Xenopus tropicalis: one gene and its partners. The protein of the gene in region 1 purifies or fractionates together with the protein of each later gene. This does not show direct contact. Links are inferred from orthologs where the notes say so. Each region holds a gene or a part of one and is shown in the gene's direction. Other genes may lie near its edges. The genes, in order: igf1r, rack1, arrb1 and pcna.

Region 1 (4,850 bases):
TGAAGAGTCCCTAAATAAAATGAGCATGCTGCTGTTGTTGTTTGGATTACTCTCAATGTACAAGTTAGCCCAAGCCTGCGTCTCGTGTTGAGCTACAGCTCCAAATGCTTTCTTGTCCCCTAACAAAGTTAAATATCCCTGCCTTAAAGAGTAAATATGTCCTGAATGTAAGTTTTGTTTTAAAGTGGCAGAATGCCACTGACTGAACGCTTATTTTCATGCAACTTTCTCCTAAAAATAACATAAAATCTCCAGCACAAGAGTTATTTAGAGCACTTACACAGTAGTATGTAATGATTAGCTATGTTTATCCCTTTGTAATCACCTGTCATTTTTTTTTTCATACAAAACACAATGGGTTAATTTATTAACGCTTGCGATGTGGTCTTGCAAGGTAATTATTTTACTTTTATTTAAACTTTGTACCTTCTTGGGTTTTTATTGTGTCTATGATTAAGTGCACATGAAACGCATCAGGCGTGATGCTTTTAAATGGATAAAGTTAAAGGGATTCTGTCATGACTTTTAGGATGAAGACACACTGAGCTACTAGTAGTAACTACTTACGTGGCTACAAAAATAGACAATGCTGATCATTTACTGATAATTTCTCTACGTGTGCTTTAGCAGAGGCAATTCTCAGTATTGTTAGGAGTCTAGTAGCTGTGAAAAAGTAGCTGCTACTACTAGCTCAGTGTGTCTTCACCCTTATGATATAGTTTTATTACTATATTACACTGTTCACATTGCAAATAATCCATTCTACGATTTAAAATTGCATTTTTGAACAAATAAATGTATATTTTTTAGCTGTAATACTGGTAATACTGGTGTGTAGGCGCCACCTGAGTCTGAACATTCAGAAGGAGCCAGAGCTACACATTAGAACTGCTTTCAGGTAACCTATTGTTTCTCCTACTCCTATGTAACTGGAGGAGTCCCAAGCCGGACTTGGATTTCTTACTATTGAGTGCTATTCTGATACCTACTGGGAGCTGCTATCTTGCTCCCTCCCAATTGTTTTGCTGATCGCTGCTGGAAGGGAAGTGATATCACTCCAACTTGCAGCTCAGCAGTAAAGTGTGACTGAAGTTTATCAAATCACAGGACACATGGCTGTGGCACCCTGGGAAATGAAGAATATGGCTAGCCCCATGTGAAATTTCAAAAGTAAATATACAAATGTTTGAAAAGTGGATTTCAATGCAGGATTCTGCTGGTGAATTTCTATTAACTGATGCATTTTGGAAAAAAAAACCCCAAAAACATATTTTCCCTTGACAGAATCCCTCTAATTTTTTACCCGACATCCTTTTGGTCAGTTGGTGAATGAAAGCCGCTTTGATTGATTAAAATGTGGCAGAACGCCACTTATTGAAATCTTATTTTCATGCTATTGTCCCCTCAAACGACAAACAGTAAAGTCGCCAGCACAAGGGCTATCTAAACGGAAGCACCTACACAGTAGTGCAGCCCTTATTGCTGAGCCCTGATGGAGGGTAAACAAAGCCTGTGTCATCAGGTACCACAAGATCAGTACCAATGGGCCATGGGATCATTACTCATAGAACATTATAAATAATAATAACTAAATAAGGTTTAGTAATTTGTTTTAATTTTACCCCACCAATTATACATTTTAATTTCATGGTAGTATAAGGGCCATCATGTATGCTCTCTTACCTATTGTCTCTATAAACACATATAATTATATACCAATGTTTTTGGATGTTAGGTGTATAAATAATATAATATATATATGAACAAATGAGAAATGCCCCCAGAAGAAGTAGTATGTTGTTGTTGTTGTTATTACGCACTAGGAAGCTGCCTGGCGCTAGTATGTGGGGATAAGGGATGCCTGTACTGACTATGAGGAGTGAGTAGATGGGTGAGTGGGGAGGCAATGCCTGAGCGCAGTATTGGATTCCCGGGCGAGTCCAGTGCAGCGGGAGTAGCTCCCCAGTCCTGGCTTTGCAGACAGCCCAGTGTGTGAGTCTGTGCGTGTGTGAGAGAGAGAGAGAGAGAGTGTGCGGCTCAGGCTCTTGTTTACAGCATTAGCGCCGCGCACACACACACACACTGAGAGGAGATCCCAATGAGAGAGGCTCGGTGGCGGCGGCGGCCCGGGGATCCCTACACACGGACGGCAAGCAGCGGGAGAGCAGCCCGTACGCAGCTTTAAGCCTCTCGGGCTTTATCCTAGGGCTGAAGAGAATCGCTCGGACGGCGGCGAGTCGGGCGGGCCGAGATACTCTCCTCCATTCATTGGTCCGGCGGGTGTGCAGCGGCCTCCTGCCGTGGGATAGCGGATTGTGCCCGGGGCTGACATGGAGGGAGAGGAGGGCGAGGTGCGGGCTTCGGGTTTCTCCCATCAGCTTCCTCCGTGCGGCCGGTTCCAGCGGCGGGACTGACACACTGTGCGCCGGGGAGATACACGTTACCCTGCGGGACTGAGGAGCCGCACACTTACCCTTGGATTTACCCAGCATCAGGCGGATTTCATAGCGCCCCCTCAGGCCAGGGATATACTGCCACCGGGGAGTAGGGGAGATACGCAGAGTAACAAGAGCGAAGAAACCCATTGGATAACGGGGCCCAATTCCTCGTAGTGGGCGGCGCCTGTTTCGTAGCTGCCAGAGAACCCCAAGTAACCCCCTTGTCCCTCTGCCTATCAGTCAGGGCAGTGGGGAGGGGGGGAACTGTGGAGCTCAGGGGCTCCCCCTGGAGTTGGTGCCGGCCGCTGCTCTGCCAGTACAACTTGGCCAGTCCGCTCAATAATCCACGTTTCACGATCCAAGCAGGTTCCAGAGCAAGGTGACCCGGGAATTCCAGGGCTTGTGGTCCAGGTAGAAAGGACCGGCGGCGCCATTTTTGTTATTCCGGGCCAGGGGGGAGTTCCTGGCAGAGTGCATGAGCATTTCCTCGGATTCCCTGAGTGGGCTGTACGCGGGGACTTGTTTGTGGACATGAAGGCCGGATTGGTGCCTGCTTGTACGGCCTGGATCCCGGGGGTCCTCGTCCTCCTCCTTCTGTGCCTGGGACCGTCGGCTGGGAGAGGTGAGTGTCCTGTAGCCCCCCGGTACCCCGGGCACATGGGGCTCCCACGCAGTGTGGGAAGTGTCGCTGCGTCAGGCTGCACGTATGGCTGCTGTGGTGCGCATCAGTGGGGAGCAAAGATTTGGGGCCGCACTTTCTCTACTCTTTGGCCCGAATCCCACCTGCTGTTGTTTCCCCATTACTAGTACGCAGCTCCCCTCAGTGTTGGCCTTTAGGGGCCCCAGAGAGCCATCAATCATTCCAGTATTAGAGATATGAGCTGTCAGTGTCCCTAAGCTCCCAATGTGCAGCACCAGGGATGCCCAATCTGCAGCCTTTTGTGTGTGTGTGTGGGAGAATGCTGGGAGCTGTAGTCCACAACAGCCGAATAACTGCAGGTTGGACATCATTGCCCCCTTCCTGCTAAATGTTTTGGCATCTGAGTGTACATCAGCATTGGGTCTCTCTTTCCTCTCTCATCTTCATCTGTTGTGTGGGGAATTGTATGGATGCGAGTGACTTGCTCAGACTGCACACTCTCGTCTCATAACTGCATGTGCGTTGCACTAATGGATAACCACACACGCTGCATAGCTCCCATCTCCATGCTTCAGGTACCAATCTCTCCCAATGCTGCTGCAGCACATTTTAAATATTATACAGCTTGGTGCTGTAGTCTAGAAATCTCCAAACTTGCTTCTGTTGGACTACAGATACCAGCATTCCAATGGGAGCTGTTGAATAACTATTGCCCTTCCCCTGATTTCAGTCGCTCGTTTGCAGTAAATGCAGCCACTGTTTTGATAACTTGTAAGCTCATCATTGGAATTGTAGCCATCCTATAAATCTCAGGTCATGCTGGCTTGTGTAGCCAGGCAGCAGTGGCCCATCCCTGCTTCGGTATGGGTAGTTTGGGCTTTCTGTGGAGAAGGACCGTGGACTTGCCCTTATGTCTCAGATTTTTATGACAGGTCTGAAGTTTGAGATTCTCATGCATCTAGTTGCATTCTAGTCCACACTGTTTGTACTGTAAGTATTGGTGCTACTGAGTGATATTGCTTGGGAGATGCAGTAACATGTATATAAGACTTCACCTCAAGGATGTGACAGTTTAACCTTTTACCCACTAGTTTAGTTACTGTTTTTTTATGTTGTCGGCAACTGATGCACCATGATGCTTGCATCCAGCAACCTCTCCACTGACACAAAGTTGCAGTCGTTATGACTTCTATGCACCCAAGATTATTCTTATCAAAACCATGCAATGGCTATAATGATACAGGGGCTGGTAGCATATATGTAACACATTAAGCACCTATGTGCAGAGATAGATAAATATATGGGGAAAACTTCATCATGCTGCACCAGTCCCCGATAAGTGTTGGCAAAGATATAAAAACAATTATTACAGGTGATTAAATCTTGATTTCTTCCCTCCCTTCTATTTCCCCTTTAGTTTATTTTTTATGCCTGTCCCAAATTGTGTGGTCCATGCCAAGATTTGTTACCGTCTCAGGCACCTTGTTTAGGAGACGGCTGTAGGCAAGTGTTAAATACTTTCTCATGTTTGTGTTTTCCATTTTGGATGGGAGGAGTATAAGAATTACCCAAATATAAAAAATAACACTAAGAACTAATTTTACATGTGTTTTCTCTCCCAGTGCTTGGCTTTTAATGACTGTGATTGAGAAATACAATGGGGGATAGGCAGAGCTATGTTAATCTGTTGAGCTTTGTGTATCTGTAGCATCTCAATAATCGGTGTCAGTTATTGTATTACTAGCAGAACCCTGTCCAAAGACTCTGCCGAT
Region 2 (4,568 bases), on another chromosome or scaffold:
GCTTGCAAACCATAAAAAATAATGACATATTGCAGTTGTCCTAGAATGTCATTGTCTGTATCATATTATTCCTCCACGTATCCTTGAATAATGTTTAAATATTACCCTACAACTCCAATTTAACATCTCCAGAGTTTATCTTTTCCTGGAATTCCTGGTGATTGCCCAACAAAGGCATTTTTTTCATTTTAGATTTTACATTGTCTTGAAATTTAAGAGGTATGTTACAATTAGTAATGTGCAGCATGGGCCGCCCTACTATACCCCCAGAATGAATACTTAACCAACAGATAGTTTATATAATTTTAAGTGACCTAGTAATCTCACCAAAATGGAATATATATATATATCAGTAAATATTGCCCAGCTCTAACCGTAACAGGAAGTAGTGTGGGAGTTAAAGACAGAACCCTGTCTATTCATTGGCTGATGGGGCCTAGCATGTATGTGTGCCTTGGCTTGTTTGTGTGCACTGTGAATCCTATGATCCCAGGGGGTGGCCCTTAATTCTTAAAATGGCAATTTTCTATTTATGATTACGCAATAGCACAAACTACTAAAAATGTCTATTTTTATGAAAATGGTTTATTTAGATGAAGCAGGGTTTTACGTATGAGCTTGCTTATGCAATATATTTTTGTAGAGACCTACATTGTTGGGGGCTATAGTTCTCCTTTAATGGTGGTTTCAATCCCAGTTTACAGTTTGGTTCAATCAAAAATAGTGAGAACTTTGCCATAGGCTGCGTGTGGCTTAAAGAGCAGAATTTTTTTTTTTTTATAAGGAAATTGTTCAGTGCAGGAGATACTGCAGTGTCCCTGCCCTAGTTCAGGTGGGGGAGTAAGGAGCAGGGCGCAAGGTGTGGACTATAATGCCAAAAGGTACCCCTACAAACAGAGATAACTCTATAAAGGAGATTCCCCAGTGGTGAAAGAGACCCAGTGGGGCACTGACTAATATAATACATGTAAAGCATGTTTTGAAGCACTTTTAATGTTTCTAATGTTTTATTTCCTGTTTATGACAAAAAAAAACTACTTATGCCTGCCGCCCAGTATCCTCATGATAGTTACGTTTTAAACAACAATATATCCAAGATGTGCGTGTTCCACACTTACGGCAGCTAACATTCCACAACCAATATGGCGCCAGCACACAGTCATATAAGCATGGGAACCCTCTCACGTGTGCTACAATCAGAACGCAAACTAGCCTGCGTACGGTCAGCCTATCCCCGCGATTTCTCTATTTGACAGGGAAAGTAGTCACCAGTTGATTTAATAGCCAATTCTGTTCTAGCGCTTATACCTATGCTTGGAATTCACGTTGTCATTCATATTTTCTTTTTTTGTCTTGTTTTAAAAGATTTTAAAGTAGCGCGATTTTTTAGCCTAAGTTGCACTGTACGACATTCTGCAACTCGCTGCCATGTTGAAACTCGTTTCTGGTGATGTAAACAAGTAATGCATCCGGGTAAAGGCGTCCTGACGCAAGGCGGCGCAGCGCGCTTACGTCAGGACGCCGCTTTGTATAAAAGGCGAGGCGAGGCCTAGTTCAGCCTCTCTTCGGTCGCTTTAGGCCCGGTGTCTACCATCTGTCTCCATCCTTTGCCGGTGGAGCGGTTTCGGACTCATCGCAGCCATGACTGAGCAAATGACACTTCGGGGGACCCTAAAGGGCCATAATGGCTGGGTCACGCAAATCGCGACTACCCCACAATTCCCGGACATGATTCTCAGCTCTTCCAGAGGTGAGATGCATGAGACGCCTACTGTAGCCTATCGATCCACGCAAGTTTATATGCATTGCGGTATCCGGGACCCCGTTTATCGTTAGAACAAGAGCATGAATGCTTACACGTTGCTTTTTTCAGCCCTGGTAAATGTGATTGCTGTAACTACTTAGTGTCGCTGTGTGATATGTTACTGTATCGGGGCTAAAATGGCTCCTCATTCATTATGCGTCATTGGAAGTCCTAACTATAATGAAGCTTTTCTTTATCTGTCGTTTTGATTAGCAAGGGAAAGATGGTGGTAGATTTTGCGGGCTAACTTACCTTTTAATTATGGTGTGAGCGATATATGATGTATAGTGGCAGCTATTGTTTGCTAGAACTTTGTTCCTTAGCCCTTGGTACTGAAGAATTTGCAGGCTGACAATGCCATAGAGTTGTATGAGCAGTGGTGGAAGTGTTTTTTCTTTGCACATCTCATGTCTTCATTTTTCTTGCATACTAGATAACCTCATTCTTCTGGCAGTTTGGGTTGTGCAAAGGAAAAACATCTTCACCTGCTTACAGACATAAAATGAGACACCGTAGACCAATGACAAGGTATGGCATGGCTTCGCTGTGATGGCATGGTTTATTTTGGGAGGGTTACCCCTGTGTGGAACTGCCTTGTTGGAGGTTTACTGCATAGAAGTTGAGGTTACCACTTATTTAAATCAGCAATAGTGTTCTTATGTCCTTTGACTTTTTTTTTTTTTTTTTTTTCCTCTCTGCACAGATAAGACTGTCATCATGTGGAAGCTGACTCGTGATGAAACAAACTATGGGGTTCCACAACGTGCTCTCCGGGGTCACTCCCACTTTGTCAGTGATGTGGTTATCTCTTCAGATGGGCAGTTCGCTCTCTCAGGATCCTGGGATGGAACACTCAGACTGTGGGATCTTACAACGTGAGTACACTTATCCTTGTTCCATTACCTGGCCTGTTAAATGGCTGCTTTTCAGAATGTTCAGCAAAAGTTACTGATCAGCAGCAGGGAATTAGACATGGTTTCAGTACTACAGAATTTGACTTATTACTTGGATAGAAGGAATGACTGGACTAACTTTAGCATTAAGAATCATTTGAGTCCACTTACTGTCAGACCAGAATATCCCTGCAGGGGAAGCATATGACAAAGGACCAGTTAAATAGTAACCTAGGTAGAGGGAAGCTATGAATCTGTCCCTCCCCCTGCAGGGTGGCACAGAAAGGAGTGTTCTGAGGGGAATGGATACTGTCATTTTGTCATCGTGTCAAATATCCCTCTGCAGTGGCACCACCACACGCCGGTTTGTAGGACACACCAAAGATGTCCTGAGTGTCGCTTTCTCTGCTGACAACCGGCAAATTGTGTCTGGATCCCGTGACAAAACAATCAAGCTGTGGAACACTTTAGGCGTTTGTAAATACACTGTGCAGGTATGTATGAGCGTTATAACTATATTTTAGTTCTGTTGGTCCACGTGATTAGAACAATTGTATTCTGAGTGTCTAATATAGGCACACTAATTTCAGGATGACACTCCTGCAATTATGAAGGGACCAAATAAACAGTCATTCTAGGTCTTTTGGCAGGCTGTTTACTAATGAAGCTGTCTTTCTTAGGAGGAATCACATACTGAATGGGTGTCCTGTGTCCGGTTCTCCCCTAACAGCAGTAATCCCATCATTGTATCCTGCGGCTGGGACAAGATGGTGAAGGTGAGTATTTTGGATGCCTCCAGTCTTAATACGGGTTCAGAGTTTTTTTTTTTTTTTTTTTTTTTTTTTTAAATGCATACTTGTTTGGTAAGTAAAGTGTTAAGCAGCTTTAAAGCGTTTTCACTCCCCCTTTAAATAGTGCACTACTGACCCCTCTTAAACAAGTACTAAGAACTAAGCCCTGAAAATAAGTGGCTAGAGATGCCCACTTTTATATACTGAATGTTCAGGTCTTCTGCAGTTGTCACGGGAACTCCCCATCTTGGATTTTATTAGTGTCGGTGACACTCGTGCTCAGTGTGCAGTTGAGATGCTAAGTCTAGGGGTTGTCGCAAATTTTCTAGCCTGTCAATAGTTCTAAGCTCGGGAAACAGAACAGAACAGAACATGTGCAGTGAATCATCAGAAAAGATGGGAAGCTACTGGGGCACATTACTTCTAAAGGGCTATGATTTCCTAGGGCTGTTACAAAAGCGCAAAACACATAATGTAAAAATAATTATGCCCTACTTCTGTAGTTAATCTTGCAGCTCTGCTTTCAGCCCCCATACATGGGCCTACCAGACACAGCATTTGAGTGATGAATGAATATTGTAGTGGCAGTACATGTGTGGCTTTTTTTTCTATTCAGTGTCGACACTGAACAAATTAGACAAATTGCAGAGTTGCTGCTTCCCTTCTGGCTGACTGGAAATTGGCCATGAGGACTGCTGATCCTTGATCTACCAGAATCATGGAATTATTTATCTTCCCCCCCCCCCCCCCCCCATCCTTTTGTATTGGCTATATAGGCACACAAAGTAGGCCCATATGGTCAAAATTGGCCAAACTACCCTACCAAGTCATGGCCAGTATCCTCTTGCACCTTTTTAAGAATACCATATGGTACAGGTTGTTTACTATATGAAATCTTTCTCTCCATAGTTTAACATCTGTGGATATGTACATAGTGCATTTAATCTTTTTTTTCTGTGTACACATCCTTGGATTCCAGTAGCCTATAGTTGTATTCTAAATGACTTTTCTTATTTCAGGTCTGGAATCTGGCCAATTGCAAACTGAAGACCAACCACATTGGTCACAGTGGTTACTTGA
Region 3 (4,635 bases), on another chromosome or scaffold:
GGCTTTTGCAGCCACTGCCTGGCACTGAGCTCCTCTGCTTAGTTTACTTCTGAGTTATTTTCATATCTCCCCATAGTTTCCCTTTGGGTGGTCCTTGCGGGGTGACACCCAAAGGTGTTTATACCACGTACTAGACCAGGCCTCACAACATGGCATTTATGGGCACAACTCCATGGCATATGGAACGGAAGTTGTTGTTGGCTTTTGCAGCCACTGCCTGGCACTGAGCTCTTCTGCTGAGTATTTTTCTGTGTTATTTTCATATCTCTCCATAGTTTCCCTTTGGGTGGTCCTTCTGGGGTGACACCCAAAGGTGCTTATACCTTCCGTGTACTAGACCAGGCCTCACAACATGGCATTTATGGGCAAAACTCCATGGCATGTGGAACAGAAGTTGTTGTTGGCTTTTGCAGTCACTGCCTGGCACTGAGCTCTTTTGCTGAATTTACTTCAGCATATCTCTCCATAGTTTCCCCGTTTGGATGACATTTAGCGGCTTTGATTTTATTCCCAAAATATAAACCAGACATTCATCTCCATGGATTGTGACCTTACGTTCACTCGCCCTGACTATTCCCAAACCCCTCAACGGAATTTATTTCTCTATTTTCTCCAGAGATTGATGCTTTTGGCCCACATCCAGACTTGGGGTTTTGTTTTTATAATACTCTTGTATGTGTTTTTGTATTTGTATGATTTAAAGGCAAAGTATTCTATTATTTGAATTGTGTTTTGTTTTGTTTATTTTGCCTGTTTCTGGTCCTGACTACATGCACCTCTCCCCCAGGCCTACACTCTAATTCCAACAGCAGAGATAGGAACCCTGCTTACTGGGCTGCCCTGGGAAATATGTTGTACAAGCAAAGCTAATTCACCTTTAAAGCATCTTGCCATACTTTCTTTATTTTGGTCCTGTTTCCATCATTTCCCACTGCTTCTATCCTGACCTACTGTCTCCATCTTGCCCTACTGTCTCCATCTTGCCCTACTGTCTCCATCTTGCCCTACTGTCTCCCATCTTGCCCTACTGTCTTCATTTTGCCCTACTGTCTCCATCTTGCCCTACTGTCTCCATCTTGCCCTACTGTCTCCATCTTGCCCTACTGTCTCCATCTTGCCCTACTGCCTCCATCTTGTCCTACTGTCCCCATCTTGCCCTACTGTCTCCATCATGACCTACTGTCGCCCTCTTGCCCTATTGACCATTGCCCTATCTTACCATTCTTCCTATCCCACTGTCTCCATCATATCTTACAATCCCCATTGTATCTTGCTGTTGCCATTTTGCTGGGGGGAATATTTGGGCCCCCTATCTCTGTCTCTGCATTCCCGCTGGCTGGGGAGGGTCTCACCCATACCCGCGGGAGGCTGCAGAGATTTGATATGCTGGTGTTGTGCCCGCGGCACGCTGTACTGCCGATGACGACACGAGCCAATCAGACTTGCACGCAGGGCATAACACAGTAAATGGGAGAATTTTGATGCAGCTGCTTGGATTGAGAGAGAGCGAGAGAGCGAGAGAGCGGCTGAGATTCCAGCCCGTGGGTAGTCGCTGCCATTGGAGAGAATAAAGGAATCAGTGGGGGGGAGAGAGCTGAGAGGGAAGGGACCGTCGCACACCTCGCTGGCTGGCAGGGCTGCAGTGATGCCGGTGCCTAGATGGATTACATGTGGATTGACAGCCCGTACCTAAGGATCAGAACCGTATTGGAGGAGTCGGTTCCTGCTTGCGTGGTGGCACCGCTGGGAATCCGCTGTGGGGAGCTGGAAGCCCACAAGGCCGCGCCAATGGAGAACGTATTTCTGTGAGTAAGGACAGGTCTGTGGCACAATGTGTGTCGGACTGGGCACAAGGAATCACCCACAGCGATGCCCCCTCGTGCCAACATGACCCCCGGGGTGTTACCTCTAATGAGCAAATCCCACTGTTATTCCCCTTAATGCCCGGTGCTTGCAGTGCCCCCTCTTTCTGTGGCCGGGCTGCCTTTAGTGCCCTGCAGTTTGTGTGGCCCCCAAGCTGTATGCAAAGGGACCCTCAGGGATTGGCTGTAACTGTAGTATAGTGTGTATAGTAAGGCAAGATGGGGCTCGGCATAGGGGCTACAGTGCTGGACAGTGTGCAGAATAAGGTAAGGTGGTGCCAGGAGAAGGGGCTCTAACTATGGCATAATGTGTATAGTAAGGCAAGATGGCACTCGGCATAGGGGCTACAGTGCCAGGAGAAGGGGCTCTAACTATGGCATAATGTGTATAGTAGGCAAGATGGCACTCGGCATAGGGGCTACAGTGCCAGGAGAAGGGGCTCTAACTATGGCATAATGTGTATAGTAAGGCAAGATGGCACTCGGCATAGGGGCTACAGTGCCAGGAGAAGGGGCTCTAACTATGGCATAATGTGTATAGTAGGCAAGATGGCACTCGGCATAGGGGCTACAGTGCCAGGAGAAGGGGCTCTAACTATGGCATAATGTGTATAGTAAGGCAAGATGATGGTAGGTGTACAGGCTGTAACTGGGGGGGGATGCTATGAAATGTAGAAATATGTAATAGGCTGCAGGGGGGCCCCGTAACTTGGCACAACCCTGCCCTGTTCTGGTATAGAGTTTGCACCCTTTGTGCACTGGCACCTCATTCCCAGTGGAACCCATTGGGCACGTAACCCCTAAAGGACTTGTGTCACTGGGAAGCTCTTGGAATACAGAAATGACGTCACAATAGTGCGGCCAATAATGTCATTTAATGGGGCTCTTGGCATTTTAGCAGCTATATGGTCGATAGGGTCCAAATTATCTTAGCAACCAGGCAGTGGTTGGAATGAGAGACTGGGATACGAATAGAAGTGGGACTGAATAGAAAGAAAAGTTACAGAGCTGTAACAATAAAACTGTGGCCGCACAGAGCAATGGGTCATTGGTTCCCAAGAGCACAATGGAGGCAATTCATTGGCTGAGTGACAGTGGGATGTGCAATCTGGCGGGGGGGGGGTGGGGGTCATATAATTAGATTAGGGCTGATAAGAGGATTAGCGTTAGGGAGAGTGGGATAAATATATAAGGCGCTTTGGCTGAGCAATGAAGCCTTTGGGGTAATTACCTTCCTTATCCGCTGGCCCAATCCGGGGCAACTGGAAGTGACCTGGATATTTAGGTGCTCTAATACCATCCAAGGCTGTAGTTGTATAACCAGGCACCCATGGGTGCTATAATTGGGCTCCCAAAACCTCTATTCGAAGTCTGGGAGCCCATTGGCCCTGTGACTTGTATCTTTCTGGGTGCAATTAAGGACTCAGCAGCAGGGGAGGGGGGTGACTGGTCTGGGGCCCAATCACAGTGCAGGGACGGGGCCATAGCCATTGTCATAGGACTGCAAAAGGTACAGGGTTTGCTGGTGAGATGGGCAGGGGTCTGGGCAGGTAAGAGGGTAACAGGGCAGACTGGGGGTTTTGCTATGTATGTACCTAGCCTTGGTTACATGGATTCTAGGGCTCAGGGCCTGTGTGTGGGCGGGGGGGCTAATAACCCAGGCTCCATTGTGGGGAAAGCCCTGCTGATAGCATGTGGCCCAGTCATCTGTCGGACCTGCCAAATATCCTGCATTTTTGCCCCCCGTATATTTAATGGTGATATAAACCCAGCCATGATGCTGCCCCACGGCGCCCCCTAGTTTTGCTATAGAAGCTGCCAAAAACCATCATTACAGATGCAAGGAAATTCCCCAATGAGAATTGTACTGATAAATAAGTTGATTATAAATGCAAAAGAACTGCCCAGTGAGAATGCTGATTCCCAGCACTGTGTCAGGCCCCTTGCTGGTACCTTACATATAGAGATAATGATGGCATTTTCTCCCCTCATTATATGGCACAGGAATCAGACATGGGGATAAAGGGACAGACTTGTTCAGTGCTGGGAAACTGTGCTTATTGCTCCCAACTCCAATTGCAGGAACAGAGAACAGGGAGCCGGATTTACTCACATCAGCTGGGATTCTCATTGGAGGATTTTTCGCATGTTAAAGCAGTCGCTGGCTGTGGGGATTTGGGGGAAAGTTTTATTGTGCAATATTGCTTTAAGAATACAGCCCTGATGTTGCTGGACTACAGCTCCCAGCATGCCCCAAGCTTCATTATATGTTACATTATTGTGGGATTTGTAGCCCAGTAACAACTGAGTAACGTTGGGTTGAGCCGCGCTGGGCAGCAGGGTTTGTATCCCCTTTAACCTTGGGTGAGCCAATGAGAGTACATGGTCAGGGAATAATCAGGAGTGGCTGGGACATGGCCATTAGGGGGGCACAGGGGGAGTCCAACCAGTTGTTATATAACTGCCCCCCCAGGTGAGCCTTTGCCCCCCCGCCAGTCATATGAGTGCATTTATTAGGTTACCATGGCGGCACCTTGGCACTGTATGTGGGCACAGAGCTGGCATCGGGTGTTGGATTGCTGGCAGGATTCCTTATCACCCTGGCAAAATATTTGAGGATTAAGAGGAGTTTAATTGCTCATTGTTAGCGTTTGGAAGCAAATTCACGGCGGTAGGCGTGGCGCATTAACCCTCGTTATACCGGAGGGGCCCCGGGTGTGTTCCCTTTATCCCAGTGTGGGGCTCAGTCCCTGAAGCCCAAACCCCCCAGCGC
Region 4 (4,674 bases), about 8.1 Mb from region 1:
CTCACCCAGCACCTGATCTTATAGTTATCATATCCGTGTTCAGTCCTGCTTCAACAGTGTAATCAATACCAACTTGGCCTGCCTCTCCTTTTAACTAAAGGTGGCCATACACATACCAATATTATCATATGAAACTTTGTTTCTCATGATATTCGGTGTTTGTATTGAAGGAGACGAGGTGACTGATATTGCCAAAGGCCTTGAATATCGGCCATCTCATCAATCAAGCGGGATAGAAAATTTTGATCTGGCACGTTTGAAGGTGCCTGAGAAAAGGCAATTATTAAGCTCTGAATCATCAGATAGGGGTAGAATTATTTTATTTCTAACTACATATCTGACAATTCAGCTCTGAATGATAGAGGAGGGTATGACCAATGGTTGCAGGAAAGATTATAATTGTAATGTGTATGGCCACCATAAGACTTTCCCTTAACCAGATTAGTTAGAATGGGTTTACAACAGCAATGATCAACAGCAGTCTGTAGGATGCTGCATAAGGATGAGTGAAGCCTCAAAATGTAATTTACAAAGAATATGTTACGAATCCAAACAAATTGCTCCAAAAAGTCTGTGTCTGATTTAATACAAGACCTATATTCGTTCTGGTGACAGTCACAATATATTGGCTGTGCCTTGATCTTGCAGATGGTGCAATTTTTTGATCTTGTGGATGGTAGTACTCACAGAGCCTCAGGGGATTTTACTTAACCCTGAGTCCATTTGAGCTTCAACACTGGCTGTTCTGGGGCAGTAGAGCTTTTGTTTTTTGGCCTACAAACAAGGCTGGAACACTTAGGGGCTAATTCATTAAACCATGATTTTTGGGTGGTTAAAATCATGATTGGAAAAAATTCGGAGTAACCACAAAAATTCTTTTCTCGTACGAAAATATCGTGGTTGCGTTCCGAATTTTCGGATCTGAACGTTCGTAAACAGTGTGAAAACCTTTCTGGCTTTCATAGTCTTCCATAGGACTCAATGGCACAGATCCAACCTGGCCAAAAGATAGTAAGATAGTTTACCAAATTGAATTCCGAAATGGTTGTAGTCTTTCCAACTTTTTGGTAGAAGTTAACGAAAACCATGAAAAAGTCATGGAATTTTAACAAAATTATTGTGGACATTGTGAAAAGTTCTACAAATTAGAAAGAATAAGATTTTTTCTCAAAAACAAAAAGATTGTGGTTTAATGAATGGGCCCTATAATTTTGCAAGTATTCTGGCCTTCGCAGCATGCATTCCTATATTTATATCTCCACCATTAATTACATTGGCATCAAGCATTATTTTTACAGGCCAGGGCAGTAAAATTTTGGGCTCAGGTGGCAGCCCTGGGGTAGGGAGTAAAGGTGGTAGAGAGTGATTGGAGGTGTAATGGGGCATGATAGTAAAAAATGTAAAACATAGAACTAATATGTCTGCGGTTTAATATATAAAAAAATTAATGACCCCATCCTTTCTGCATTTTCAGGGCCCCAGTAACTAAATGTCCTTTGGGTCTGTTGTCACTGACCAGAACTAGTATAGCTAATCCAACAAATTACAGTTATTTATATTTATTTTTCATATTTATTAGGTGTAGAGTTCATAATGGGGCACAAGCAAAGCTTATATAACGGAGACCATGGTGTTTCAGTGACAGGGACTGACTGCACAAGGAAAGATATGAGGGGGCGGGTCATAATTTTGGCGCCTTACATTCGTATAGTGACATCACCACTATAATATAAGCGGCGGAAGGCCGGCTGGCGGGCTCATTTTGGCGCCGGAGCTTCAGTTGGGAGGAGGTACCACAGAGGTACTAGGGAATTCAGCTACTGAGCTCCGCCATCTGCACCCCCGGCACACTTCTCTCTTTCCCCCAGCTCCGTACAGCCGTCACCATGTTTGAAGCTCGCTTGGTGCAGGGTTCCATCCTGAAGAAAGTGCTGGAGGCCCTGAAGGACCTGATCGATGAGGCGTGCTGGGACATCACATCGAGCGGCATCAGCTTGCAGAGCATGGACTCCTCGCACGTCTCGTTGGTGCAGCTCACTCTGCGATCGGACGGCTTTGACACCTACAGGTGCGATCGCAATCAATCCATCGGCGTCAAGATGAGCAGGTAAGGAAGCTATGTGGGCGCTTAGTAAGTGCGCAGCACTGCGGAGATCACTAGTTGAAGGGACGGGCTAGTGCGGCAGGCTTAATGCGTCCAGACTTTACTATTGGGTACACGTAGCGCGATACACGCTCTCATTTTATTGTATTTGGCGCAAATATGTATTCCATACATACATATTCCCCCCCCCCTCTGTCATGGACTTGGCCGATCTACTCCCCCCCCCCCCGCCTCTGTCATGGACTTGTCCGTTCAAGTCTCAGTGATTGCGCGCGCAACCTGGCTTCCCGCGTGACGTCACATACGCGCCAACTTCAACAAAGCCGCCGGCTTGGCGGGAAACCGGCTCATTGTGCCAAGCTTCAGCAGTGCGGCCACTCTAATCCAAATGCCACAGGATAGTTGGAAAATAAGAATTTTATCAATGAACCGAAATAAAATTATTTTCCTTAGTGTTGCCTCACTTTGTCTAACACTTCCCCTACACTTCACTGAGGCCCACAGCTGCTCAGTGTCTTTTCTTTAATGGGCCCTCATGGGTTCTATGTATATCTTTATAAAGCGCTACTTATGTACTCAGCGCTGTACAGTAAAATACATTAATACAAATGGGGTTAAGATAATAGATACATACAAAGTATAACAATAAATACAAGATACAGCTGCAATAAGTTAAGAGTCAAAGAGACAAGAGAATGGAGGTCCCTGCCCCATATAGCTTACAATCTATATAAAAAGGTAAAAGGAATACGCTGCTGTATGCATCTGGAGTGTTGGAAAGCTCCTTCAATGGGGATTTTTTTGTGCCGCCTTGCTTAGACAGGGCCCCTGGTTTACTCGGATTGTAAGCTCTACGGGGCAGGGACCTCCTTCCTATATATATATATATATATCTTGTCCTCCCTGTGTGTAAGCTGCGTACCCTTGTGGTGCTTTATAAATAAAGTTATACATACATACATTGGAGTAAAATGCCCAGGTTGCTTACCAAGATGTCTACCTTTGCCAGTCTCCTGTTTGGCATTATATATAACTATATATCTATCTTTACTTTTTTTCACAGTATGTCTAAGATCTTGAAGTGTGCTGCAAGTGAAGATATCATTACTCTGAGGGCAGAAGACAATGCTGATACAGTTACAATGGTGTTTGAGTCGCCAAGTGAGTATTTGCAACATTACACTTTGGTTTTCATACCCTTCATGCCAATAAGTAAATTCTTTATTATAGTAGCTTGGTGCTTATTTCATTGGCTTGGAAGGCAGGGCTAAAACAGTTATAGGTAATGGAACTTTTTAATGGATTTTTATAACTATAGTATCTTGATTAATTTGTGCTAAAATAGAAACAAGAAATGCTTGAATTACTGATTATACTGTACCAGCCTTCAAAGTTGTACAAAGCAGGTAGCCATCTTGGCTCTTTTTGTGGCCTTGTAAAATTTCCTTCTGACATCAAACCATGTTAAATTCTGATCCAGAAGGCACTGGTCACTACTGATAATAAATTAAATTAAATTAGGCTTATGTTTTAAATTAGTGTGCATATACTGTATATTTGTGCAGTTTAGAAGTGAAGTTTAGGGGTTGTTGTAAATCATTAAAAAAAAAAAAAAACTAGGTTTCTGTCATAGCTATTACAGGGCATTATTAAATTCTAATGCTAATTGCACTGGTTTTTAAGGTGCCAGTGATAAGAATCTGAAATACTATTCAGCCTTATCTTGTGACGTTTATATTCCATATATGTACAGTATATTGTCGGTCCCTAAGCACAGAGCATGGGCAGTGAATCAGCAGAAAAGATGTGGAAGCTATTTGAGGGCACATATCTTCCCTGCTAAAGGGCCGTGTTTGCCTTGGGCTGGTACAGAACCTCAAACAGTGAAGCATTTCTGCCCAACGTTTTTGTTCTGCTTAAGTTTAACTTAAATGTTTTTAATTTAGATCAAGAGAAAGTTTCTGACTATGAAATGAAGCTAATGGACCTTGATGTGGAGCAGCTGGGCATTCCTGTAAGTATATTTTTTTAATGTTTAAGTTGTTGCTGATTTTTGTCTGCTTACAAAACAGATTCGCTAGGATCACTGTTCAAAACGTAACTGGACACTTTTTGATTGTCTATTAGTTATTGCAAAATTTAAACCCAAAGCAGTGTACACTCAGTTTGTACACTTCAGTTGTTTTGGTTTTTATAGTTCCAGTCTTGGGGTTTCACAAAGTTCTAAGGGGGTAATATACATGCTGCTTGTAGAAACTCCCCTTCCTCTGTACCCATGGCAGTTATGTGACCTCTTATGCCAGTCTAAAGTAACCCTGTCTAATGCAGTTAATTTTGGATTGCACTCTGCTAAATTGTCTGGTTTCTCATGACAGGAACAAGAGTACAGCTGTGTAATAAAGATGCCATCTGGTGAATTTGCACGCATCTGCAGAGATCTAAGCCAGATTGGTGACGCAGTTGTTATTTCTTGTGCAAAGGATGGGGTAAAGTTCTCTGCAAGTGGAGAGCTGGGCACTGGAAACGTAAAGCTGTCACAAACTTCAAATGTGGATAAAGAGGAGGAAGCT

Evidence for each region.
Region 2: the proteins of igf1r (region 1) and rack1 purify together in Homo sapiens (affinity purification with western blotting; 4 studies listed by BioGRID, with this or other methods). This does not show direct contact. The link is inferred for Xenopus tropicalis from reciprocal best matches to the Homo sapiens genes IGF1R and RACK1.
Region 3: the proteins of igf1r (region 1) and arrb1 purify together in Homo sapiens (affinity purification with western blotting; 3 studies listed by BioGRID and IntAct, with this or other methods). This does not show direct contact. The link is inferred for Xenopus tropicalis from reciprocal best matches to the Homo sapiens genes IGF1R and ARRB1.
Region 4: the proteins of igf1r (region 1) and pcna purify together in Homo sapiens (affinity purification with western blotting; 3 studies listed by BioGRID, with this or other methods). This does not show direct contact. The link is inferred for Xenopus tropicalis from reciprocal best matches to the Homo sapiens genes IGF1R and PCNA.

Annotation. Positions count from the first base shown.
Region 1 is NC_030679.2:114,970,010-114,974,859, reverse strand, and holds the start of igf1r (insulin-like growth factor 1 receptor), read left to right. Parts: upstream 1-1,600; 5' UTR 1,601-2,969; coding exon 2,970-3,060; intron 3,061-4,850. UniProt on the Homo sapiens protein: Receptor tyrosine kinase which mediates actions of insulin-like growth factor 1 (IGF1). Binds IGF1 with high affinity and IGF2 and insulin (INS) with a lower affinity. The activated IGF1R is involved in cell growth and survival control.
Region 2 is NC_030684.2:71,557,410-71,561,977, reverse strand, and holds the start of rack1 (receptor of activated protein C kinase 1), read left to right. Parts: upstream 1-1,572; 5' UTR 1,573-1,641; coding exon 1,642-1,750; exon of another isoform or gene 1,751-1,878; intron 1,879-2,237; exon of another isoform or gene 2,238-2,332; intron 2,333-2,507; coding exon 2,508-2,679; intron 2,680-3,043; coding exon 3,044-3,191; intron 3,192-3,377; coding exon 3,378-3,473; intron 3,474-4,507; coding exon 4,508-4,568. UniProt on the Homo sapiens protein: Scaffolding protein involved in the recruitment, assembly and/or regulation of a variety of signaling molecules. Interacts with a wide variety of proteins and plays a role in many cellular processes.
Region 3 is NC_030678.2:175,782,862-175,787,496, forward strand, and holds the start of arrb1 (beta-arrestin-1), read left to right. Parts: upstream 1-1,315; 5' UTR 1,316-1,659; coding exon 1,660-1,805; intron 1,806-4,635. UniProt on the Homo sapiens protein: Functions in regulating agonist-mediated G-protein coupled receptor (GPCR) signaling by mediating both receptor desensitization and resensitization processes.
Region 4 is NC_030679.2:123,021,638-123,026,311, forward strand, and holds the start of pcna (proliferating cell nuclear antigen), read left to right. Parts: upstream 1-1,769; 5' UTR 1,770-1,886; coding exon 1,887-2,107; intron 2,108-3,167; coding exon 3,168-3,265; intron 3,266-4,050; coding exon 4,051-4,118; intron 4,119-4,479; coding exon 4,480-4,674. UniProt on the Homo sapiens protein: Auxiliary protein of DNA polymerase delta and epsilon, is involved in the control of eukaryotic DNA replication by increasing the polymerase's processibility during elongation of the leading strand.